Linked DNA regions of Drosophila melanogaster. The protein of the gene in region 1 interacts with the protein of each later gene in a biochemical or structural test. Each region holds a gene or a part of one and is shown on either strand. Other genes may lie near its edges.

Region 1 (9,923 bases):
GCTTTTCTAAGAGCAAACTCAAGCGGAAATGCCTGACACACCTACACACGCAATTCTGAACTAACATTATCAAACAACTTTATAATTAAAGCATTTTCATGCAGCTGGGCAGTAATATGCACCATTCAAGTCAACCTAAGGCTTTTAGCAAAAAAGTTAGTCATTTTTATTAGTTAATGAAAAAAACTTAACTCGTATCTGATGCTGCAGTTAAGAGAGAAAAGTTTTGGGCTAAGAGCGCATCTTGAAGAGAAACGAGAATAACTCAACTAACTCGCAAATTCGCGCATATTCCAGACAATTTAATACCATAATTTAAATGTTAGCTAGACACTCAACTAACTAAACCTATTTTGCATGAAGTTGGCTATAATCAGCAGTAGTTTTCCATCATTAAACTTCATTTGGTTTTTCGTTTTTGTTCACTTTAAAGTTTATACATTTTGCTGCTCTTTTCAACAGAGCGACGTGTGAGCAACACGTGAAAACAAGTTTTATGCAACAGCTCATTGTTTACTTATTGTTGTTGGGGTCGTTTGTAAAATGTGTTTATTTATTCGAAAAAGTTGTTTTTATTTGCTATTACTCAGCTACCTGCACTCCGCACTAATGATTATTACTTTTGAAACGCGTTAAAGCACTACAATTGTTAAATAGATTTAGTCGGGAACTTTCCGCTTGACACGTTAACAGTTCGAGAGATTGTTGGCAACTGAATCGCAGAGACGGAAATTGCTCTAAGCCAAGCTTTGCTGTTTCGGCTTGGCTGCTTTATTTTGTTTCTTCTTGTTTTAACTCTCTCTTTCTCTCGCTCTCTTTGTGCTGCTCTTTTTGGACACATCTTCGTTTGTTTTGGCCATTATTACTTTGCCTACTCATTCTGGCCATCGGAGGCGTTACCATATCGCTGGAAAAAGAATTTAAGCCATGGCTTTGGCGCCCAAGCAACAGCTCCCTTCGTCTTGGCCCAGTTGCTCTCTATTTTTATCAATTCGCCATGCTTGCTGATAAAAATATTACAATGTGCGTCAGTAACTCTAGGTGTAAGATCACTAAAAAAAAGTTTAACTCCTATTAAAAATATTCCAACAAATGAGAAATTTTTAACAAAGCCATTTCCTTGTTATTGTCAATATCTATTTTAAAGTATAATATCCAACCATTAGGAAAATGTTTTTTACAAACATATAAAATGTTTCTTGTTTAATAATTTAAAAACATTATAATTATGTTTTTTCAGAAACTATTTTTTGAAAAAAATGAATAATAATTCAAAAGTGTTGCATTATATTTGCAAGTACTAGATCTGTTGCTTACACCAAATTTTAAGAAAATTTGGCTTGCATGGTTGGTTTTGAATAGTGTATTATATAGTGGTGGTTGATGGAACTCGTAGCGTAACGCAGACTTCAATGAATCGATATGCCCGCAGGTTTCTCTTACTCACGCATGCGCACTAACTTCCAATGGGGTGGTCTTCGTAAAAGAGAGTAACCAGTGTTGGTAAAATATATAAAAATAACGGTGTATTTCAAGCAATTTTAGGAAGTTATTAATAAAAGCCTGGAAAATATTGAATCATATTTTAATTACTCATCCTGCCTGTCTATAAAACAACCAGTAGTGGATTATTAAGTATATATTTTACTATAAAATGCACATTGCACTGACTCTCTTTTCAAAACTCTCTCCAATATCTCTCCCTCTCTTTGAGTACTTACATGCCTTTACATTCGCACATTTCTTTTGGTGGGAAACTCTTGGATGAAAAGCCCACTCGCTCAGTGAAAATTTCATCACCGTCGTTGACAGTTCAGCCAAAATTCTCTAGCTCCACAAAATTCGCCCAGCCAAATCTCAAAATTATCTAAACTACATTTTTTGTTCACTTTTGATCATTAAAAGTCATCGCTTAACGTTCATCGGCCATTCGAGTGGAAATTTGTGAGCTCGAGCAGGAATATTCAAGTGAATTTTTAGCTCTTTTCGGTAAAGAAAAACGCAATTACCCAAAAATCGAAACACGGCTAAAGTGGAAAAAAAAATATATAAGAAATTTCTGTATCAGCTAGTCAGCGTTGTTTGCCCCCAGTGTGAGTGCAAGTGTCTGTGTGTATTTTGTGTGTGTGCGAGTGTGTGTGGGTTTGTGTCTGTGTGTGTACGTGATAAGCGTAGACAGACGCCGTAACAACAAAACTGAGACCCCGAGGTTAGAGAGGCACCATCGCTTTATTGAATTACAAGTAAAACAAAGAGCGCGACTTAGCTGGCGATTAAAGAGTCCTCAAAAGGGGAGAGGTGGAGGGGAAGTCGGAAAAAAAAGGGGATCCAAAGCGGGCGGTGGCAACCTGATAACCCACAAACCCACTGCCAGCGGGAGCCGAGCAAATAGTCCTGAGTGGCGGTTTTGATACTGCTAATTGCTTGGGAAAAATTAATTAAAAACCTTGGTCTCTAAAACTATTTACCACTGGTCGCTTGGAGAGATAATTCTTTATATTTCGCTTTAGATTCAACTTGTTTTTGATCTTAGCTATTGGTTCTGGGTAACTGAAACTATTTTTAAAACGAATTATCTTAGTTAAAGAACATCAGAAAATGCTTTCTGATATATCCAATAAGCTTAAATTTATACGCACAAGCCCAATTTTATTTCTTGAGTTCTAAAGTGGCAAAATCTTTATAGCTTAACTAAAAGCCATAAAAGTCTTTGACCCCAGACGGAAATAGCTGCCACAATTTGCGTGAGCCAACGGTACAATTTACTCTGAAATGCTTGGCAGTTTTAATTACCATCGAAAAGACATTACGCCCTGTTTTATGACAAGCCAACGCACATATCAACACAAAGCATTCTCGTAAGGGAAAAGCCACTGGAAAATGGGTTAAATGTGGCTGCAGGTGCTGCAGGTGCTGCAGCTCCGGATGTAGAGTCCTGCATTTACCCATTCCGCAACTCGTTCTCGCATTGCAGTTTATATAAAACGGTTGACAGAAAATGCAACTGCTTAAGCTGCCATAAAAGGAAACTTTAATTTGCCACTGACGTTGATGGATTGTGTTGCAACTTCGCTCTTACCGGGAAAATAGCCCAAGCCACCCACAAGATCGGGGGGTTAAGCCGGGCCATAAAGTTTTTCCAGCACAGATTTGTGCTGGGTACCAAAAAGTTGCGGGCAAAAACAGTCCAGAGAAGTTCCAAAGCCTCCGGAAAGGGCAACCCAACAGCCGAGACCCTCAACACGTTACTGTGATTATTAATTCAAAAAGTTTTCACACACACGTACAGCCAGGCAGCCAAAAGTAGAGGGATGTGTGCTCGTTCAGACAACACGGCGGATGAAAATATCCCGCAAACGAGCTGTACTGGCAATCAGCCGAATGGCAACACATGTATATCGATGCTAGACGGTTATGAATTATGCAAGAAATACCAGGAAGTTAAGGAGCCTGACCAACTTAATTTGGGCAAATAACGAGGACCAATCTGCTGGCTGGATAATTAAATAAGACTTAAAGTTGGCCAAATAAGTTTATCGAAAAACCGCTCAGTTATTACTGTTTTGATAGGCAAAATAAACAGAGCAAACAAACAATCGGGGCCATCAATAATGAAATCGATTTGTATAAGCTCTACTTAGTCACCCAGCCTGCGAGTTAGTCCGTTTCTGACGTGTGCTGAACTTTGACATTTGGGAACACGCTAAAGAAAATGCCAAATGTCAAAACTGTCCGTGTTGGAAAGTGCAGCTATCGCACAGCTTCTGGTCGAAAATCAGAGAATCCCAGCTCAGCTGTGTGTGGGGGCCAAAAAGTAAGTCACAGACAGAACGGCGTCCCTGCGTATACGTAATCTTCTTAGCCACAGCAACTCATTATTAGAGCTTATGTCATGAATGGATAAGGAGGAGTCGGGATTTTATTATCGGAAAAATTGGAAAGTCTTGACTTTGTAATGAACTTCAACAATGTATGTGCATCTCATTGGACCAGCAAGGACATCCTCAATTGTTTAACCCTAAAAAGTAGGCTACGAAAAGTTGCACAACCGCCTTGAATATTTTAGTTATGATAAGTGAATCAGCACTTTGCTTGCGACCTTTGGGACACATTAACGCAATTTTCCCGCACTTAGCTGGGACCGCAGAGGCAAAAGGCTTGGCCTGCTGATTTGTTTAGGTGTTATTTACACATAACATTTGGTTATTCGGCCGCAAATCTTTCACATTTTTTTCGTATTGCCTAGGGATGTGTGTTTTCGAGTTTTTCAGTGAGCGTTCAGTGGTGTTTGTATACTATGTCCTACATAGAGGCCACTGCCAGTGCAATGAACCAAAAACAATGTTTTGCTTGGCAGTCGACGGCAAAAAAAAAAAGAGAGCAACAAAAGCGACAGTCAGTCGTCCCTGGGGATGTTAACCAGTCGCTCGTCCGTTCATTCATTCCGCCATCCATCCATCCATCCAGTCGTCCCATTGCCTGGACATCCTCTGCCTGATAGCTGTTCGAGTTGATTTGCTCTTTGTGTTTTCCCTTTTCTTTTATTTTTCCGTATTTCCTTCAACTTTTGGCGATAAGTTACCGGACCGAAGCCAGCTAAATAAAAGGGTTTCGATGAAGTTCGTCGGGGGAATATGTGTGGCAGTGATAAACTTAAGGATGCAGTGGGTTTCATTTAATAAGAGAAAGTTAAGACTACATTTTTATAAATTTTTGTCATTTACCAGAAGTTCATTATGCGGGGCACATAATTGAACCTAGGTTGCTTTAGGTGTCACTCATTTAATTAAAAACATTAAGCTTTATAGAATTTAAGCTTTGTTGGAATCTTCCTCTGCTTAATATAATTCTCAATATATTTAATAATTAATAGAAAAAAAGAAAAAATATCAGAAAAAATTAAAAGATTAATTGTCCTTCCATTTAATTTAAAAGATTAATTCCCTACTTACAGATTAAAATAGCGACCGGATAGCCTGAGATTCGTCGTAGTAACGAAGCGAACCCCTGCGAAAACGGAGGCCAACTGCTCGACTTAATTGTCGACCACTGTCAATATTAGCGCCATCGCAACTGCTGGGTGTGGGCGAATCTGCGCCCCGCCACCGGTAAGACTGTTCCAAGATTCGTTCGCGCTTTCAGAACCCACTCATTTCACTTTGGCTTTTCTATATGGCACCCAAAGATATCACTCGAATCATATGGCAAAACACACTCACATATCTATAGCCTTGCTACGCTTTCATCAGCAAATTGCTTTTCAGTTTTTTCAGCTTCAATCTTTTTTGTTTTTCCACCAAGCTGCCCACTTGAACCTTTTCGCACACAAACACGCAAATTTACCCACAGGGGGTCGGTGTGCTGGTGTGTGCCTGAGACCAACATTATTATTATGTAGGGGCTGAAAAGTTTCAAGTGGCTGTAGGCCTGCGGGCCACGATAATAAATACAAAACGCACAGCGCCGTTTTGGCCACAAGTGTTTGACATTGTTGACTTGGTCCAAAAGAGCCCCCCAAACGCTAAACTTCACCACCGATTGATTTCTAACGTTATGCGCCACACAAAAGATCCTTGGAAATATAATGGCTATGCAATTTCAACACACTGGCCATTGTCCTTAAATGTCCTTGGCTTGTGCACCTGTTGCCGTTAGCTCGACTTTATACTCATGCCCACACGCCGTTCGTTTTAATGTTCTGTTCGTGGTGCTTATTTTAATTAAAATTAAGTTTGAGACACCTTAATTGCCATTTTAATAGAACTTTAGTTTTCACTTAGACCAACTCCGTCTCTATCTATCTCTCTCTCTGTCCGCTAAAACAATATGCATATCCTTTTAAACCACACATTCACGACATTTTCCTAAAGGCAAATGCAACTTTTGTGATTTCATGGCGTACTAAACCCATTATTCCGACAGTAAGTGAAATCAAATGAAACCATTGGAGTTTGTTTTATATAAATATACTAATCTTTAAACCAGTTGACATATGAAATTTGAAATGAGTTTTCCCCTCACTTCACTACATTACATTATGACTATGTAATGTTTTTTACGATTTTTACCATCTTTCACTGCGAAAATGCACATTCGAAGTGACCACATTACGCATACGCCACATTGGCGTAACTGAATTAGAGAAAGTTTTCAAAACAATTAGGATCCAAGTGAGAACGTTGGCTTAGCTTGGCCACAAAATCTCATTAACTTCTTGCAATAAAGTTAAATAAAGGGACAAACATATGAACTAAGTGACTTATTTTATGTTTGTGAGACGCTTTAAATTACTGTATGCCTTAATGTTCAATGTCTATGCACAATAAATATCAGAAATCATTAAATGAATGCCCAAATTGAAAGCACTCTAGCTAATTAATTAGCAAATCAACTATACTTTGTATGTGTTTTTTTTTTATGTATTTTCGCGTGCCGCGGATCAAAGGAGCCAAAAAGCAGCACCCTGAATTTCTCGTCGTTCAAATCGAGCTTCACTTCCAATGTTAATTTCCTGAAGAGAAGGTAAAGACCTTAAAAAAGGAAGTGCCCCCTTTGGCAGAAGGGGGCCCAGTTGAACGAAACTAATTTGAAATTTCATATGTTCGTCTATTTCTCTATCTTTTCTTCTCGGGCGGTATTTGTCTACCACCCCATTTGATTATCTCATCCTTTTTTCACTCAATTGCGCCGCACCATTTAATCTGTCTACTTGTCTGGCGGTTGAAAAACAACCGAATCAATCAAAAACACTCGATTACTCGAACACCACCTACCACAACCACAACCCACCCACACGAAAACTACTAACAGATTCAGCTCGGGAGACTTGTCTTCCGAGGTAGACGATGTCGATCCGAATAGCCTGCCGCCGGCGGCGCGGCCCATCCAAGATCAGCCGACGAAGCCGCCGGTTGCCGGCGGACCGCCGAATATGCCGCCACCGCCGGCTCCCGGCCAACCGGCCGGAGCTGCTCCGGAGCTGTCGTTGAGCTTTGGCGCCGGCAAAACCCCGGCGACGGCCGCACCTGCTCCACCACGTGGTGTCAGTGCGCCGACCAGTCCGGCCAAGTCGCGCGAAAGCCTGCTGCAGCGGGTGCAGAGCTTGACCGGCGCTGCCCGGGATCAGGGAGCCTCCATTTTGGGTATGCTTTGGCATTGGCAGGCACCTACACTCAGAAAAATATGGCAGTCAATCAGTCACATAACATGTAGAGACGGCATCATCAAGTCTTGGTATATATAGTAAACAATCCACTTTATAAGCAATGCGTCTCTGTCAATCCATACCATTATGTTACTGTAATTGTTGTCCTTCTATTTACCTGTTGATTGCTTTTAGTTTAAATATAGTAACCGTTATTATCCTTGGTATTTATAGATGCTATGGGTGATCACTTACAACAACTCCTTTACTGTAGAACAAGATATACAATTTCAATTCCTTTGTAAACTTTTTAAATAACTATTCTATTACTCTATTAACAATTCATGGGTGACTTCATCTTTAATGTGAACTTATAAAATATTAAATATTTTACGTTCTATTAATTGTTTAAGTAGTCAATGAGAAACAGACTCAAAATCCCGAAGTAAACCGTCTTAAATAACTTTAATGGTTGTGTCTTACCAAATGTTGCAATCTATGAGATTTTTCTGAGTGTAGGGACTGTTTATTGGTCTCTGAGCATGGAATGACATCTAACCCAAAACAGGAGCTGCGGTTCAGAGCGCCACACAACGGGCACCGGCATTCAGCAAGGACAAGTACTTCACGCTGCTGGTTTTGGATGACCAGAACACGGACTGGTCCAAATACTTCCGGGGCAGGCGCTTGCACGGCGACTTCGACATCCGAGTGGAGCAGGCCGAGTTTAGGGCAAGTACCATACCATTTCTCATCCGGTAATCGGGATAATTACTGTTTGTCCACTGCAGGACATTACGGTGGTCTCCAGCGCGGACACCGGACCAGTTGTCACCATGGCCGCCTATCGCAGTGGCACTCGGGTGAGTTATCCAAGACACTGAAACAAATTACACTGGTATATATATATATCCATACCAGTGTATACCATATACCATATACCATATATATGTATATAGTGACGTATTTGGGTGGTCCAAACCAGCCACTTCCATTATTTCAAAGAAATCAGTAATGCACTCTAGTAATTTTCCATAACGTATCCCAGCTGCGCAGCATTCGTTTATCTTTGGCAGCGCAGCCGTTCTTGTAAACATCCTAAAGCCTGACCTAAGCAGATTTGACTGCCCTCTTTCAACGCTACCTAATCTTAAGAACCCAAGAGCGAGGCTCTCCCGAAATACAAATATTGTTCAAATACTGAGGCTTCTCCTCAATCCAATTTGCATTTGATTTTTAGTCTTAAGCTGAGATCCAAAGAATAAAGTCGTGAAACTATTTCTCCTAAAAACTATTTTTTATTTCTTGGCGTTGTCCTTAGTCAACTGACGGGACATTAGTTCGACTCATAAATAAAACAACAATTTTACTGGCGCAGTCGGTAGGATACAAAAGTATCCGAAAAAAAGAACCTTCGAGTGGAAAATAAGTTAAATTTTATAGTCCAGTGCTCGAAACATCTCCCAAAATAAATTCGTGAAAACTCTTCAACTTGGATTATAATTCCAATTCGGTTATCCAATAATAAGTGGAAGTGAAATACGAAACAAAAATATTAAGTCCAAAGGCAACTAAGTTTTAAAACCAACATATAAAAATAAAAAATTAAAACAATATAGAATTTTAATAATACAACACAAAAATTTACAAAACAAAAAAAACAAACAAGTGAAACTAGAAAGCTTAAAAATAATAATAACATTGAATCCGAAACAAAACAAAAAAATAAAACACAAAAGTTAAAAATTTTACAATAAAAATGTCACAACCAATTATTGCGCTGAGCGACATAAACCTTGCCGAAGCCCGTCGGCAGCTTAAAGACATTATGCCATTCAAAGGTGATCCAGAAACCCTTCACACCTTTATCAGCAGAGTGGATTACGTAATTTCGCTCTACCAAACAAATGATGTCCGACAACAGAGGATTCTACTGGGAGCCATCGAAAGGAACTTGGACGGACAAATTACACGATCTTTGGGACTTCCGAACATCGAAGATTGGCCTACCCTTAAAGCAAGACTCATCGCGGAATTTAAAATTCAAACACCAAACTACAAACTTCTGGAGAACTTCAGGGAGACACCATACAGAGGAAGCCTAAGAGCATTCTGCGAAGAAGCGGAGAGACGACGTCAATTACTAATTTCGAAACTACACCTGGAAGGTAACCAATCGGATTTTCTTATTTATATTCAGGGTATTAAAGAATCTATTAAGATACTGATAAGGAAACTACCAATACAATTATTCACTATTTTAGCCCATCACGATATTACAGACTTAAGATCCTTAATTACCATTGCACAAAATGAGGGAATTTATGAAGAACACATTAATTTTGAATTTTATGAAAAACCAGAATATCGTAATAAAAATTCAAATTCTAACCGGAATTCGAAAACACAAAAATTCAATACAAATGTTCAAACTCAAAATCGACCAAGTTACTCACAATATTCCCAACCCTTCCAACCTAATTTTAATCAATACATTCAACCATTTAGACCTAGCTATACACAGCAGATAACTAACAACCCACCCATGTGGCACGCACCTAATTATTTCAGACCCAACCAATACATAAACCCACAACCCATTATTCAAAAAAATCATTTCCAACAATATCCCAACAAAGCCCAATTTCCCCAAACAACGCATTTTAGAGGAAATACATACCCTCGACTACAACAACCCTCTACATATAAAAATACTAACTTCCCGATTACTAAACGACTAAGACCATCGGACAGTGAACAAACTAAAATGTCTATTGAC
Region 2 (10,019 bases), on another chromosome or scaffold:
GTTTTTGGCCTTGAATTTGTTTAAAGCAGCTAGTCGCTTGTTTTGCGACATTTGACCGTGCAGCGGAATAGCAGCCAATCCCAACGCACGAAGCATTAACGCTGTCTTAACCGTGTTGTTGCAGGTGCTGCAAAATATCATGAAACTGTTGCCTGCCAGCTCATTAAGGATATGAACCAAATACACATCCTTGTATTTGACAGGGATAAACAAATATGATTGCTGCAGCTGCTCAACCGTCTGATACTTGTTAGACACCTCTACCTTTACGGGATCCTTAAGGGAGGCACGCTGCAGTTTCTTTACTTTCTTGGTCATGGTCGCACTGAACAGAAAGGTTCGTCGTTCACGCGGCAATACCTTCAGAATCTTGTCCAGCTCCACCTCAAAATCCATGTTAAGAATGCGATCCGCCTCGTCCATGACCAAGTATTTAATAGCCTTAAGGTTAAAACCTTTCATGTTTTCTAGATGATCAACCAAGCGACCCGGTGTGGCAATTATAATATGCGGCTTCTTGGCCAGTTGAAGACCCTGGGCTACCATGTCCATGCCGCCGACTACCACGCAACACTTTATGCCAATCCCGCTACCTGAAAAAAACAGAGCTAGCATAAGTTTGGCAGAAGGAAATTCAAGAATACGATAAATGGGAAGGTTTTTTTACTCAGAGGTAGTGACGAATAAGAAAATTATAATTTCATATTTTCGTTGATACACAAAATCAAAACAGGTTTAACATCACTGCGAATTAAAAGCACATAAACTATGCGAAAACTCACCAAGGGCTTCAAACTGCTCGCCAATTTGAAATGCCAGTTCCCTCGTGGGGGTTAGCACGAGGGCAAAATACCGCTGCGGATTCTCGAGAAGGGCGTGTAAAATTGGCAGAGCGAAGGCGCCCGTCTTGCCGGAACCGGTCTCCGCTAGGCCAATTACATCCTTGCCCTGTAAGGCGACCGGAATGGCCTCACGTTGGATCTTCGAAGGCGCCTTCCACTTCAATTCGTCACATGCTTGACACAAAGCCTCATTGAGACCCTTTGAAGAAATATGGCCATTCGATTAAATTTTAATTTAAATTAATAGTGGGGCTCATACGAGATCTTTCCAGGTTAGCTTCTGTTCCTCGGCTGCGTCGTCCTCGGAGCCTTTATCATCTTCACCACTTAGTGCCGCCTCGCTGTCCCCTTCCTTATGATTGTTATCTTCATCTTCCTGCTCCTCCTCGCTACCTAGATCCTCCTCTTCGTCACTCGTTTGTAGCTGCGTCTGTTCGTCCTCTGAAGTTTCCGACATTTTGTTACATGAGTTTCAGAAAAATTTCACGGTACGGACATTACCAATAGCAGCACGTGGTCGAAATAAAAGAATTAGAGGCGGTAAAATAGAAATAGAACTATTTGCGATATTATCGATATAGTTGCGTCTTTAAAACAGTGCAGATTCATGATAACTTTCGATAGCTAATGTGCGATATATCACATGCACACTTAATAAAATTTGTAACTCATTCATACTGAACCATGATCTTAATTACAGGACTTAGTTATAGTGCAAATAGTTTGTTTCGGAAATATATTCACATTTGTATAAAATCGTAATTTGTTAGAAAATTGTTTAATATTGTGATTTTGTCATTTCAGTTAATATAACAATGTTTGAAAATAGATGGTGAATACAAATTTGGTATACATCTTTTTCCATCGCGCAATTTTAAATTAATGAAACGCCAATTAGAGGGTTGTCTGTCATGAACTGTCAACGAATAAAAACTGTTTGACATTTTCATACACAAATGTTATTGATGCTATTATTAACAATTCCGTTAAATCCGGAACAAAAGATTTCTGAATAATTGTCATTTTTAATTGTATAGAAATATTAAAGACAATAAAAGAAAAAAATAGTTGAAATAATTTAACTGACTTGTACTTAACATTTTCTTATAATTTTGGATATTCGAATTTTAATCTTCGATTTTGTTTATTGCGATCTGTTGATGTTTTGGTTAGGTATACATTTTCGTATTGTGTTAAATGCATCATACTGCCGACATAATTTTTATGAGGTTCACTGTAGAAGTAATATAATTAATATATTACTCATAGTCAGTAGTTGTTTCATTTATTTAAAAATCCGTTAGCGGCTAAAAACAAAAACGTTGCAGAATAGTCACATCCAACTTAAGGTCACCGTACTTTTCAACACTTGCTTGCTATAATCACAGAAACAAGCGACGGTCACCCTCCTTCGATTATTAGTCCGTACCTATCGGAGCCTATCGTTCGTCGATATAGGATCCTATCATATAAAATATTGATTAAAATTTACGCAAATACAAAATTTTCTTGTTCCGATGAAAAGTAAGCAACAAAATTACAGTTAAGAGGGATATATAAGAGAATAACGTGTGCGTTGGCGGGGACCATACCACATCATTACTTATCAGTTAATTCGTGGCTATGCGGTTGACAAGTGAAAACGCCTACTAAAGAGAAACTAAAACCTTCAGAAAGCGAGTAAAGGGGGCAATCTATCTTTACAACCTGTCCATTGAGATCGCTTAATATTTTTGGAAATGCTTTATAGGTAAACCATAAAAATCCATTGTGAAAATTTGTGGGGGTGGTGGATACTGAATAGGCGATAGACGTAGTAAAGAGAGCGGCGAAAAGAGTGCGGAGCGAAAGAGTTTGTATTTGATGTGTACTCAAAAGTAGCCGAAGAGAGCGCACTAATACACACGCATACGGAAAAAGGACGATAAAGAGGAAGAGCTTTCCGTGGAAACTAGGATAAAGTGTTTGCCCAAAATGAACTCGGCGGTGGATGCGTGGGCTGTGACCCCGAGGGAGCGTTTGAAGTACCAGGAACAGTTTAGGGCACTCCAGCCGCAGGCAGGATTCGTTACCGGCGCCCAGGCCAAAGGGTTCTTCCTGCAGTCCCAGCTGCCGCCCCTGATCCTGGGCCAAATATGGTATGTATATTACGCCCCCATGAATCATCCACCGATAAGAGTGTTAATTCTTACTCATTTTCTTATCTCCAGGGCTCTGGCGGACACTGATTCCGACGGCAAGATGAACATCAATGAGTTCAGCATAGCCTGCAAGCTTATCAACCTCAAGTTGCGCGGCATGGACGTTCCCAAGGTTCTTCCTCCCAGCCTGCTGTCGTCTCTTACCGGCGATGTCCCCTCGATGACGCCACGTGGCTCCACAAGCTCCTTGAGCCCTTTGGATCCACTCAAGGGAATAGTTCCGGCAGTAGCTCCAGTTGTTCCCGTTGTGGCTCCACCGGTGGCTGTGGCTACTGTCATTTCACCGCCTGGAGTCTCAGTGCCGTCTGGCCCCACACCCCCCACCAGCAATCCACCTAGTCGCCACACGTCTATCTCAGAGCGAGCGCCATCGATCGAGTCTGTGTAAGCATCACTTAGAATCGAATTAATGATTTAATATTATTAATGTAGCAAAGAAGAGATAATTTAATTAATTAAATTTCAAATATTCTTAGTTATTGAAATATTAGCAAAAACATATATATAATATCGTATCTGTTCTTAACTCCTCAATCAACTTCTATCCTTTTAGCAACCAAGGAGAATGGGCCGTTCAAGCTGCCCAAAAGCGTAAATACACGCAGGTGTTCAATGCTAATGATCGCACCCGATCTGGTTACTTAACTGGATCCCAGGCACGCGGCGTTCTCGTACAGAGCAAGTTACCCCAGGTCACGCTGGCCCAAATCTGGACGCTGTCCGACATCGACGGCGATGGACGGCTGAACTGCGACGAGTTTATTCTTGCCATGTTCCTATGCGAGAAGGCCATGGCTGGTGAGAAAATTCCGGTTACCTTGCCCCAGGAATGGGTACCGCCCAACTTGCGCAAAATAAAATCGCGACCGGGATCGGTCTCAGGGGTGGTATCCCGTCCTGGCTCACAGCCGGCCTCCCGACACGCATCTGTTTCATCCCAAAGCGGAGTGGGAGTCGTGGATGCTGACCCAACAGCCGGACTACCTGGACAAAGTAAGTGCTTAATTAACTCCGTTGCCAAACATGTGAATATATTCCATATATTAACACTTGTGATTTCGCGTTCACCAGCTTCCTTCGAAGACAAGCGAAAGGAGAATTATGTTAAGGGTCAAGCAGAGCTGGATCGTAGGCGCAAAATTATGGAGGACCAGCAGCGCAAGGAGCGGGAAGAGAGAGAGCGAAAGGAGCGTGAAGAGGCTGATAAGCGTGAAAAGGCTCGTTTGGAGGCCGAGCGTAAGCAGCAGGAGGAACTAGAGCGACAGCTCCAACGCCAGCGAGAGATTGAGATGGAGAAGGAGGAGCAGCGCAAGAGGGAACTGGAGGCTAAGGAGGCGGCCAGAAAGTAAGGACTTTTATCTTGCTTTGAGCGACAAAACAATGTATACAATTTCTATTGTATCAGGGAGCTTGAGAAGCAGCGCCAGCAGGAATGGGAGCAGGCTAGAATTGCCGAAATGAACGCACAGAAGGAGAGGGAACAAGAACGTGTTCTAAAGCAGAAGGCACACAACACCCAGCTTAATGTGGAGCTCAGCACACTGAATGAAAAAGTAATGTTCTTAAAGTACAACTAATCTATATGGCTGGCCTATCTAACTAACTCGGCTTAATTACAGATCAAGGAGCTTTCGCAGAGGATTTGCGACACTCGTGCCGGCGTGACAAACGTAAAGACCGTTATCGACGGAATGCGCACCCAGCGCGACACTTCCATGTCCGAAATGTCGCAGCTGAAAGCGCGGATTAAGGAACAGAACGCTAAACTGCTTCAGCTCACCCAAGAGAGGGCCAAGTGGGAGGCCAAGAGCAAGGCCAGCGGGGCTGCCTTGGGAGGGGAGAATGCGCAGCAGGAGCAACTGAATGCCGCATTCGCCCACAAGCAGGTGAGCTTTGGCATATACGTAAAGTTTTAGTATTCAACGGATTCTCTAAAATACTATTTACCTTTTTCAACAGTTAATTATTAACCAAATAAAGGATAAAGTCGAGAATATCAGTAAAGAGATTGAGTCAAAGAAGGAGGACATCAACACTAATGATGTACAGATGTCTGAGCTCAAGGCCGAGCTCTCCGCTCTAATCACAAAGTGCGAGGATCTGTACAAGGAATACGATGTGCAGCGCACCTCGGTGCTGGAATTGAAGTACAATCGAAAGAACGAAACTAGTGTATCGTCGGCCTGGGACACAGGCTCTTCCAGTGCTTGGGAGGAGACGGGTACGACTGTCACCGATCCCTACGCAGTTGCGAGCAATGATATCTCCGCACTGGCCGCTCCAGCTGTGGACTTAGGGGGACCGGCCCCAGAAGGATTCGTGAAATATCAAGCAGTATACGAGTTCAACGCACGCAACGCGGAGGAGATTACCTTTGTGCCTGGTGACATTATCCTGGTGCCATTGGAGCAGAACGCCGAGCCGGGATGGTTGGCTGGCGAAATAAATGGCCACACCGGCTGGTTCCCTGAATCCTATGTGGAGAAACTAGAAGTCGGTGAAGTTGCTCCTGTCGCCGCTGTCGAAGCCCCGGTTGATGCTCAAGTGGCCACCGTGGCTGACACCTACAATGACAATATCAATACCAGCTCGATTCCGGCAGCTTCCGCAGATCTGACTGCCGCCGGCGATGTCGAGTATTATATAGCCGCATATCCTTATGAGTCCGCCGAGGAAGGCGATTTGAGCTTCAGTGCCGGTGAGATGGTCATGGTCATCAAGAAGGAGGGTGAGTGGTGGACAGGTACCATTGGTAGCCGCACGGGCATGTTTCCTTCGAACTATGTCCAAAAGGCTGATGTGGGCACAGCGAGCACAGCCGCTGCCGAACCGGTAGAATCTCTTGATCAGGTAAGTGGATAGATAGTACATAATTAAGTAATGTGTGGGGCCATTTGCGTTTTAAATTGATTGGAACTAGAATCAAGAATTATAATATTATTATGTATACAAAATCGTGTACAATTTCATATTAAAAAAAAGTAAGCGACATTATTTATATAAGAGAGAAGTGAATTTAGTTCCCATATAAGAGAATATAAACGCTAAATATACAGGCCAACACTTTATCTTACTTGTAAAGAGTTTACAATCCCGAAGTCTAGAGTCGTGTCTAACCGTTGCCCTCACGTCCATCTACTAATCCAATGCTTTTCATGTGCTGTGCTTTTTGCTACCGTGTTACACTTGCACTGACCCAGGAGACGACGCTAAACGGCAACGCTGCCTACACCGCTGCTCCCGTGGAGGCACAGGAGCAGGTTTACCAGCCGCTGCCTGTTCAGGAGCCCAGCGAGCAGCCGATATCTAGCCCAGGCGTTGGCGCCGAGGAGGCGCACGAAGACCTCGACACTGAAGTTTCCCAGATAAATACACAGTCCAAAACACAGAGCAGCGAGCCTGCCGAGAGCTACAGCCGACCCATGTCACGCACCTCTTCCATGACACCCGTAAATAGTTGACACAGCCCGTTACCACTTCATTTATTGTTTCATTTAATGAACCAACATCTTTTTCGTCATCATTTTGCAGGGAATGCGTGCCAAGCGGTCTGAGATTGCTCAAGTAATCGCGCCCTATGAGGCAACCAGCACGGAACAGCTTTCGCTGACGAGAGGCCAATTAATAATGATCCGTAAAAAGACGGACTCCGGCTGGTGGGAGGGTGAGCTGCAGGCAAAGGGTCGACGGCGGCAGATCGGATGGTTCCCGGCCACTTACGTGAAGGTTCTCCAAGGCGGGCGCAACAGCGGACGGAATACTCCGGTTTCCGGTAGTCGAATCGAGATGACTGAACAGATCTTGGGTTGGTTTTTGAATATTCGTAGTATGATTTAAATAAATTATTTTATCTATATCGTTTTTCCCATGCAGACAAGGTCATTGCTCTCTATCCGTACAAAGCACAAAATGACGACGAGCTGTCGTTTGATAAGGACGATATCATTAGCGTTCTGGGTCGGGATGAGCCGGAGTGGTGGCGTGGCGAGCTGAATGGCCTTTCCGGTCTCTTCCCTAGCAACTATGTGGGGCCCTTCGTGACGTCCGGTAAGCCAGCAAAAGCAAATGGCACCACCAAGAAGTGAATCTCACATACCGATCCAGCTTAGCTCTCTAGTTACCACATTCCGTACACATATTGTTATGTTTACTATTATTTTCGAATTATCCATTATCGATTCCAATAAGTTCTCGCCTATTCTCGCTATTGAAACCCCCACTTTAGTGTTTATTTGTTGCAATATTTCCAAGATGTATCTAATTGTTAATTGTGATTATTTAGTTTTTAGATTTACTCCTAAGCTTATCACTAGCGACCTCTCTATTTTCGCTTAGCTAATTTCTAGTGTTATTTCATTTATGTATTTATTTAGTCGGCATAATTATATTTTGTATTTCACTTATTGTACATAAATTAAAAGAATTAAATCCAATTTCGATCTTAATTGCCAACAGGAAACGTATAACGAGCCTTCGGGTTTGGCCTCTAAGCGGCATCAGGCACTTGCATACAGAAAATCCGATAGATAATCTACATGATCCTTTGGGAGTTGGGTTAGCTTAAGATCAGCATCAGCAGCAGCATCAATATCCTCAGTAATTACCTAACGGGAATTCGTACAGTATTCTAGAAAGCCTATAAGTTGGCTAAATTCATTGTTGAACCTGAAAGTTTATGCATAATGTTTATCCTATTCGGTGTAAAATTCCCTTAACTTGATAGAATTAGGCAGATATCATGTGAAATCATTTATAGAATCAAACACTGCTCTCACGTTCGTAACAAATCAAACGAAAGATACAACCGAATTTTAGTAAGTCACATTTTAAAGGGTTTATATAATAATCTGCATATGGAAACTACAATATATATAAGGATATCAAATGACACTTGAAATTTTGTTAAATGTAGATGTGTTTATCGATCAAATCCAGAATATTCAGCAGTTTTTTCCCCAAATGCTACCACAAATACGCAAATAGTATCTATAACGATGGTTTTCTGTGTTTTCCAATAATATCCGAATGTAATTGTATATACTGAAAGTATTAAAACCAAAAGTGGGAGTATACATTATTGTTAACTAAATATTAAGCATGATGACCATTTACTTATATCTTTATAAAGACATCAAGTTTAATGAAAAAACGGGAAATATATTTGTAATGGCTAATTTCAGTTTAACTTAACAATAACGTACTTGATTTATTGACTAAGTTAAGCGCTTATCTGAACTGCCATAACTGTATTAATTTTACGTGTATTGTCTCATTGATAATGTTACATTTGTTTGCATGTAAAAACTAAGTATGTACAAAATCCACACATAGTTCTTTCCACCCGATTGGATTGATAGTCGGATATTATAGAGGGCCACGTTATACTGTTCGAATCATTCTATGCTAGTTACATTTAGTCTATTTAACAAATCACACTACACATGTATCTACGCTATCTCGTACATATGAAGAAACACTGTCGAATGCCTTTCAAATTGATAACCAAACAGTCACTTTAAACGGACTAACTTAATCGTAACTTGTTATTGCATACCACGACTACATATGCGTCTATAACTATATTAAATGAAACCAAAGTAAAGAATCGTTATGAGCCCCACATGGCTGCGATCAGTTGGTGCTGTAATCCCAACTGATCAGCTGGGTGGGTAAGTTCTAAAAGCATTAACACATATTTATGTAGCAAATGTTGGGTTGTTTAATTCCACATATAAATGTACTAATAACTTTGAACGAACCACAAAAGAAGCATAGCATATACCTAATATATACAGAAAATACTACAATTTCTTTAGAAAACGCAAAGCAAATATGTTAATTGAGATATTCGTACATTCCGCGTCCCGCATATACACTCCTGCATACATATAATGCGTACTCATATAAGCGTACTTGTTTAATCGTTACAAAAGTTTGTTATTGTAAACAATGCTTAAGCGTAATTACTGACGAGGCGCAAAATACCGATCAAATGCATTAGCACACCTACACTAAAAAATCACTTTAAACGCGAAATGAAGACCATCGATATATTTACCTATATACAAGCTGAGGTGAGAGGTGAGCAGAACTTGCAGAACTCTTCTGCAGACGTGCAATGCATTCGAGTAAATATAAAGTGAATTCTTCTAGAAAAACAAAACAAAAAACTACTATAAAACATATTGAAATATATTAGTTTCAAAGATAGACAAAAACAAAAAGAGAAGAGCAAAAATATTAAATTAAATTATGAAAATAACAAATTACACATATTTGGTGCAATAAATGTATAAAAGAAAATCAAACAAAATGTTTACGTTTCTCTTTCCGTTACTCGTAGATTCGCTAAGGAGTGTGTAGCAGGTAGTTCTGTACATTTAGTATATCTATGATATCTATGATCTCTTGCAGTGGCCACTTGTTATGTCCGAAACATGGGTACACTCGGCTATTGCGAACTTTATGGGCTGCACACCTGACGAATGCATTTAAAAGAGTATTCATAATAGTTATGCCTCTACACCCGCAGAGATCAAGCCAGATCCAGGTGCCTGTTCTAGAAGATCCAAGGGAATCCAGCGGTTATGGCAACAGTGGCGCGGATGCGATATCGACCAGGCTGCACAGCACGGAGATGCATCCAACAATAAGCTGCGAGGCATTATTCAGGCCGTGCACATAACCAAGCGGCGGGATGGCCAACTAATGGGATGTGCCTATGTCCGGTTTGAGTGCAATGAGCTGTTGGCCAAGTCCATGCTTCAGGAAAATGGGAATCAATTGGTTGGCAAAGCAGTGGTGGTCGACTGGCAGCCAGAATTGCCGAAAAAACGATTTCGTCAGTGGCGTTGCTGGTGAAAGAACACCCATACAAACCCGCCCATACAAATACAACATACTTAGTTGCTAATTGCAAGTGTGGGTTAAGATTGTTTTGCTTTCCTCAATAATTTTATTTTTAGTAAAATTTTTT

What was found.
Region 2: the proteins of Syn (region 1) and Dap160 interact in far-western blotting, tested with the Drosophila melanogaster proteins (one study listed by BioGRID).

What each region holds. Positions count from the first base shown.
Region 1 is NT_033777.3:10,188,906-10,198,828, forward strand, and holds the start of Syn (synapsin), read left to right. Parts: upstream 1-1,783; 5' UTR 1,784-1,989; intron 1,990-4,954; 5' UTR 4,955-5,108; intron 5,109-6,445; 5' UTR 6,446-6,463; coding exon 6,464-6,522; intron 6,523-6,810; coding exon 6,811-7,142; intron 7,143-7,712; coding exon 7,713-7,876; intron 7,877-7,935; coding exon 7,936-8,007; intron 8,008-9,923. UniProt on the Drosophila melanogaster protein: Plays a significant role in nervous system function, which is subtle at the cellular level but manifests itself in complex behavior.
Region 2 is NT_033779.5:21,134,586-21,144,604, reverse strand, and holds the start of Dap160 (dynamin associated protein 160), read left to right. Parts: upstream 1-2,257; 5' UTR 2,258-2,366; intron 2,367-2,592; 5' UTR 2,593-2,816; coding exon 2,817-2,980; intron 2,981-3,052; coding exon 3,053-3,427; intron 3,428-3,596; coding exon 3,597-4,036; intron 4,037-4,114; coding exon of another isoform or gene 4,115-4,126; coding exon 4,127-4,388; intron 4,389-4,448; coding exon 4,449-4,596; intron 4,597-4,662; coding exon 4,663-4,929; intron 4,930-5,002; coding exon 5,003-5,893; intron 5,894-6,243; coding exon 6,244-6,492; intron 6,493-6,574; coding exon 6,575-6,848; intron 6,849-6,916; coding exon 6,917-7,090; coding exon of another isoform or gene 7,091-7,128; exon of another isoform or gene 7,129-7,474; intron 7,475-7,498; coding exon of another isoform or gene 7,499-7,509; exon of another isoform or gene 7,510-9,329; intron 9,330-9,575; coding exon 9,576-9,904; 3' UTR 9,905-10,019. Other genes in the region: pths (porthos), read right to left, coding at 1-593, 783-1,041, 1,102-1,299.